Rattus norvegicus: one gene and its partner. The protein of the gene in region 1 interacts with the protein of each later gene in a biochemical or structural test. Links are inferred from orthologs where the notes say so. Each region holds a gene or a part of one and is shown on either strand. Other genes may lie near its edges.

Region 1 (2,614 bases):
CTGGGAGACTGGCCAGGGCCAGGCAGGGCGGGCACGGCCCCCACAAGCCCTGAGCCTGAGCCGGCGGATCCAGACCGTGGGAGCAGGCAGTGGCTGGAGGCTTGATTTCACGTTTCCGTGCTGTGTTAACGGTCAGTTTGGTTAATGCTGAGCAGATGGGGGAGGGGACGCCAGCTCCCTCGGGGACAGTTGTGGGCCAAACATGTATGCGTGTACAGAGGATACGGGGCCTGCCTTACAGATGGTGCAGTGTGGGCTCGTCTGCCCATGAGCACCCACTCACCGCTGCACACACAAGGTTGATTCTGTAGGACGGACAAAGGCAAGGGTGTGTTTCTGCCTGGGAGTCTGCGCTAGCACGGCTGGAGGCGGAAGCCCGCTGTAGGCCTGCCTGGCACCCGCCCCCGCCCCAGTCGTCTGGGTAACCCAGACCGAACTCCCAACATGGAGAGTCTTCCCACGATCCGCCCTGCCACTCAGGGAAGACACCAGGCATACAGAGAGTTATTTCAAAAAATAATAATAATTTATAAAATGCCTTGTTCTTCTGTCTTTTCCACAGGCTTCTCGTCTCTCAAGGACACCAGAGCTGAGGCTCCTTCAACAAGATGCTAGAACAAGCAGTGGGGAGTTGGGGACCAGGGTGGCGAGGCTTGTGGGCTGCGGGGGCGGGGGTGCAGTGAAGTCCCGAGGCCTCTAGGTTGTTTGGGGAGCTAGAAATGTTTAGGACCAAAGATTTGCAGTCAGGCCCGGAGAGCCCCTGGGGTGGAGGCTAAGTGTCAAGGCCTTAATGCTTCGCTCCTTTGAGGATGAGTCCAAGGGCACGACCATGATCTTGAGACGAGGAGTTGAACTCTGAGCTGGGAACATAAGTTTGGAACAGAAGGCCTCAACTGTGAACCCCAAGACCAAGAATGGGCCTCCCCAAAACAGGGCCAGAGAGAGGATCTGGGCCAGCAGTAGCCTCGAGTCAGAGGCCTGATGACAGTGCCAACGTCAAATGCTGATGAAACAGGTTGGAGTCCCACGGCCACGGGCCTACGAGCCCATGCAACATCGTTCCCAGGCTCATGTGGTCTGCGCCTCAGGAAATGGGAAGGGGCTTGGCTCGAGGGGCAAAGGGTCGTGGCTGAAAACCGAGTCGCTGGAGGAGCACGTGCTGCTGGCATCCCCATTGTTGGGGGAATAGGGTCCAAAGGTCAGGCGGAGGTCAAGGTACTGCAAGGAACAGAGCTGCTCAACTTCCAGCCTCTGGGACTGGATGCTTCAGATGGTCAGGTCCCTAGGTCATGGGATCGGGCAGAGAGAGGGCATGGGGCGGGGATGGGCAGTACCTCTTCAGAGACAGCCAGCAGGACCTTGTCCAGAGCTTCCACCAGCTGCTTAAAAGTCGGCCTCTGAGAAGGAGCTGCGTGCCAACACTCCCTCATTAGCCCATACCTGGGAACGGGTCAAAGAAACTTATGTCTAGGGCGGGCAAAGTGAGGACTGTGGGCTCCCTAGGGTTGGGGCTCCGGGCACGGCGGGTGTGGGGGCTGGGCAGGAGAAGCAGGGCAGGTTAATGGGAGAGTAGGAACAAGACCAGGGCACCGTGAGCCGTGGAGAGGAAGAAGAGGGAACCGGAGTGGAGACAGTACTGCTCTATGGCCAGGGTCAAAGCTGACATCAAAGTCAGGACCCAGGATGAGGTCTGGACACTGGGGCAAGGAGGGTGACCTTACAGCTCTGAGGGGCAGTTTGGGGGCCGCTCCATCCTGTGCCCCTCTCGCAGCAGTGAGAACAGCTCCTCCACTGGGATGCCGGGGTATGGGGAGCCCCCGAGGGTGAAGATTTCCCACAGCAGGATCCCGAAGGACCACCTGGAGGTAGAACTGCAGCTCAGTGGGGCCCAGCTTCCTTCCTTCCTCATTGAAGCTGTGGTAAAGGCTACTGCAGTCGCGATGCACCCTTGGGGATAGGGAGGGGCACTCCTTTCCTTAGGAGTATCAGAGGAACTCCTAAGATCTTATGACTTTGGCAAGCGCATTGCCCTTTTAGAGGGGATGGACAACTTGAAGATATCCAGCAGCCATCTTAGAACCCAGTTCCCGGACTCACACGTCACTCTGGTGTGTGTATACACGGTCAAACAACGCCTCAGGAGCCATCCACTTGACTGGCAGGCGGCCCTGGAGGAAGGAGGAGGGGACAGTGGTGTGAGTAGTACAGGACCTATCCCTTTTAGACCAGGTCTAGTCCCCGCCCCACTCCCATGTGTCTCCGCGGTGCCCCTCACATTGCTGGTTTTCTTATAGTAGTCGATGTGGTGGACACCACGGGCCAGACCAAAGTCAGCGATCTTCATCACGTCATCCTCGGTCACCAGCACGTTTCGGGCAGCCAGGTCCCGGTGGATGCACTGAGGACAGGGTAGGGAGTATCAATCAGGACACACGTCTGGGAGTTCAACGTTTCACAGCAAGCCCAGGGGCCAGAGTCACTCAACCCCCGAACTGATGAGAAATGGAATGGGCAGAGGCCCGGGCTGAATCCCCAGGCCCAGAAAGAGAAAAAGAAAGAAGCACGGTTTGTTCAGAGCCCACGCCTACACCATGCTTGCCCTCGGGTGGAGAGA
Region 2 (3,956 bases), on another chromosome or scaffold:
ATCTATAACCACTTTAGGTCTGGATTTCCATTTTGAAACAGGTACCTCCTGGACCATGCTGACTTTGAACTCCTGATCCTCCTGCCTCCACCTCCCAAGTGCTGGGATGACAGACAAGTGAGCTCCACTGAGCTGGGTTTACGTAGTGCTCAACTGAACTCTGGGCTTTGAGCGTGCTAGGCAAACCACTCCACCAGCTGAACTCAGTTCCCCAGCCCCATCGTGTTTAAGACAGGGTATCACTCTGTGGGCTTTACCTCTCAGTGATCCTCCTGCCTCAGCTACCAGAAGGTTGGTATGTGCCAACGCGCCTGGTTTGTACCAATTATCCACCCCAACTGAGCCATATCCATGCAGAAGCTGGCAGTGTGCAAGTCTTCTGGCCTTTAACAAGTGACTTTAAGTTCTGATCACTATTTATCTGCTTTCCAAAACTCTGATCCCAGTTAGATTGCATTTTCTGGGTAGTAGCTGCAGCCTGGCCTGGGGCCAGGGATAGAGTGATCCTTCCTTGCTAGACCTGCAGCACAGGGAGCTTTTCTAATGCTGAGGTGGTTGAGTCTCCTACCATTGTGAGAGGAGAAGCCCCCTCACAGGCAGCCAGCCAGGATCTGCCTGATAATCCGCAGCTCCTCCCCCCATGCCCGGGACCAAGCCCACACCCTGTGGGTGGCCGGAAATGAGTGCTGTAGGAAGCTGTCCCTGATCCTCATCCCCAGTACCAGAATATTCCTAGTCCCTAGGCTTGAGGTATCAGTTGCAGTCTCCTAGACTGGTGCCACAGCCCCTTGGGGAGCCTACATGGCTCAATAAAACACAGGCTGTGTCTGCCTATGCATGCCGAGGTCACTGACCTGCAGGTGGAGACTGTTGGCAGATAAGGCTCTGATAACAGGCTAATTCCAAGAACCCATTGCTCCTGCCCTGGCTGATGGCACTAGGACAGAGCCACCACACGACAGGGGCCATGTTCCATGAAAACTGTGTAGATAAACATGGGATGTATTTCTCTTGGAGAATTCATATGGACAACTGGCCACTACCCTTTTTTTAATATAGGAACAATGGATTGTGGGGTTTCTATTTTTTAAAAAGGAGAGTTGGTGATGAACTATGCCCACCGGATCCAGGACAACACTGGAATTGGGGGTCAAAGCTCCCGTGGGCCTTCCTATACTATTTACATTAGTGCAGAATGGGGGTCGGACCCCCTGCTCAGCACCCTTGTCATAAATAACGGGAAGACACTGGCAGGAGATTTGCTTGGGTCTGGGTCAGCTTTCAGCCAGGCAGAGGACCTCCTCCTTTCTCTGCAGAATCCTTTCTCTCTTTCCTCTCTTTGTGGTCTTTTCATGTAGCTAAATCAACCTCAGTGCTGCAAACAATTTTGAGACTCTTAAACAGAAGGACGAAAAGGTTGAGTCCTGTAGCTATCCTCATAGGGGGTCCCAGCTTCTCCCAGGAGCCCAGAGCTAGATGGGAGGCCTCGGCCAAGGGACCTCACACAGCCTCTGCTAGTACCCCCAGAGGTAGGGCTGAAGGCTTCTTTTAACACCCAGCCTCTGTCCCTACAAAGCACTAGCCCACATACTTCAAGTCTCTGGATTTCAGGGGTTACCTGATTGTGGCCAGCACGCCTCACCCCAATTACCCGAGGCCCCAAGCAGGTGAGCATCTTGGGGACTTTCTAAAGTATTTCTAAATTTTACATCACACTGTGTACCTAGGACATAAAGATCCTTCCTTTTTTTTGTTGTTGTTTGTTTGTTTTGTTTTTTGTTTTCTTTTTAACTTGAGGGAGAGGAGAAAACCGAGGACCACACACGCAAAGCCTGGAGATGAAAAACGGAAGAGGCAGGTTTTCCGGTTCAATATCAAAGGGACCGAAAGCTGAATGGGACTTAGCAGCCAGCCCAGCCTTTGGAGGATTAGACAGCTCCACTGACCTCCCCATTTCCCCGCTGCCGCCTGGGGCCATCACTTTGCGCAGGGCGGGCAAGAGTAACATTAGCCTCACTATCATTGGTACCTTGCCTCAAGTTCCTTTAGGGCCTGAACAGGAGGTGAAAAAAAAAAAAAACAAATATGGACCCAGCGCGGCCCGGAGCATCCCGCCGCGTGGAGGAACACTCACCAGCCCGTATATCTTGCCGTCGGCGCTCATGCAGAGGTACCGCACGCTGCTGACGTCCTTGATGGCAATTGTCTTCAGAGCAACCGCGCGGAACTCCAACAGATCTGCAAGAGAAGGAAAAAGTTGCCTGGGCCCAGCAACACGTGGGTACAGCGGCGTCACACTGCCTCGTCCTTCCCCAGCTTAGTCTAGAAGTCAGGGGTGGGAGGATGTTAAAGCCACGGTGACATATCCACGTGCTCCTAGATCCTAAGGGACTCGAGGGGACACGCTGGTGGATACTCACTTCGTTCGTTCTGGTCCTCCTCGCAGTCCACAGAGCCGTCACTCCGGATACGCAGGAAGCAGTTGGAGACGTAGGGACCAGCAGAGTACAGGTACTGCAGGCGGGTAATCTTGCCCCAGCCATAGAGAAAGAGTGGACCTTCATCCGACACAGACTGGGATTGCTGGACCAGGGGACGCCCAGACACGGCCAGCCACAGAGTGGCCAGGACCAGAGCTCGGGCCACAATACGCCCACTCCACTTTCTCGCCATGGCACCTCGGGGTCGTGAAGGCAGCTACAAAGGTGGCGCGGAGACTGCGACGCGGCAGGGACTCGCAAGGCAGGCACAGCCCACAAAGCAATCGGGCGCTTGCAGCGCGGGGCGCTGCTGCTTCGACGGCGTTGCGGCTCCGGGCACGCGGCCTTATATACGTTTCGTCCCTCTGGCCCGGGTGTAGGTGACCGCAGTAGCAAGGCAGTCCTCCTAATTGCATCAAGTCTCCGCCCCCCGCACACACCCATTCAGCCCCATCCCAGTGACCCCGCCCAGGCAGGCCAGATCTAGCAGTGGAGGAGCCCCCTTTGTGACCAAGGCCGGGGGTGGGGTGGGGGGAGTGTTAAATGCACAGTGTCTTGATGGTTATTGAATAGGCTATTTTAATGTTACGATTAATTACTGAGGTCTTAAGGCCCTGGGCTTTCAGAGGGCTGCGCTTGGGACGGTCATTAGAGACTTAGAAGGCACGCAGAGCTCTGCCTCCGTACCCCCCACCCCCGTTTTGAGTCTTGGGTCTCTTCTTTGGCACGCTCTCGCAGATCGGATCCTCCCACATTCTCCAGCCCCAGACCTAGGCTCCCTATTCATGGATATTTGCCCTACACAGTGAAGACATAGTGGGAGTGTGTCGCGCTCACTAGGTGGCGCTTCAGCCCCAGTTTCGGCCTCCACTGTGCTGCCAGCTGCTCTCTGTGCGTCCTCTGCTTGCCTCGCGCGTGGACTCCACAAGGCGAGAGTCACTGGGGCTGTGACTTTGAGAAGGATGAGCTGACCAGCGCGCAGAGGCAGGGCAGGGGAGGTCGCGGCGTCCCCTCTTGGGTCGGTGATCAGGCCCTTGAGTCTGCGCGCGGGGGACAGCTGCGTACCGGTGAGGAGGGGGCCAGCTAGGAGCAACGGTGGACGCTGCTGGCGGTGGGTCAGGTGGGAGGAGAATGGGGGCCTCTCCTTGAGCCGCTCTTGCAAAGAAAGGAGGCAGCCTGCAGAGAATTCCCCGGCCTGGAAGAAAGGGTCCTCGCAGGGGGCTTTGGTTCAGCGCGTAGCCTTTCTCATTATGCCTCCAATCCCCCAACTCCTGGGTGTGCCCCCCCCCCCAAGCTGGTTTGGGGAAAGAGGTACTGGCCTAGCTCCGTGGTGATGGGAGGTCTGTCTGCAGGGGCCGGACAACAGAAAAATGGCAGGTCTGATGAATCTCAATGAGGAACACGCCACTTTCAGACGCCATCAGTGACTGGCATAAATGACGGAGCTCTGGGAGAATGTCACCAGGAAAGCCTTTA

What was found.
Region 2: the proteins of Fgfr4 (region 1) and Fgf19 form a complex in vitro, tested with the Homo sapiens proteins (2 studies listed by BioGRID and IntAct). The link is inferred for Rattus norvegicus from reciprocal best matches to the Homo sapiens genes FGFR4 and FGF19.

The regions. Positions count from the first base shown.
Region 1 is NC_086035.1:9,466,182-9,468,795, forward strand, and holds the end of Fgfr4 (fibroblast growth factor receptor 4 precursor), read right to left. Parts: intron 2,399-2,614; coding exon 2,276-2,398; intron 2,169-2,275; coding exon 2,098-2,168; intron 1,860-2,097; coding exon 1,722-1,859; intron 1,441-1,721; coding exon 1,335-1,440; intron 1,219-1,334; coding exon 1,069-1,218; 3' UTR 505-1,068; downstream 1-504. UniProt on the Homo sapiens protein: Tyrosine-protein kinase that acts as a cell-surface receptor for fibroblast growth factors and plays a role in the regulation of cell proliferation, differentiation and migration, and in regulation of lipid metabolism, bile acid biosynthesis, glucose uptake, vitamin D metabolism and phosphate homeostasis.
Region 2 is NC_086019.1:209,484,660-209,488,615, reverse strand, and holds the start of Fgf19 (fibroblast growth factor 19 precursor), read right to left. Parts: upstream 2,804-3,956; 5' UTR 2,674-2,803; coding exon 2,421-2,673; intron 2,239-2,420; coding exon 2,135-2,238; intron 1-2,134. UniProt on the Homo sapiens protein: Involved in the suppression of bile acid biosynthesis through down-regulation of CYP7A1 expression, following positive regulation of the JNK and ERK1/2 cascades. Stimulates glucose uptake in adipocytes. Activity requires the presence of KLB and FGFR4.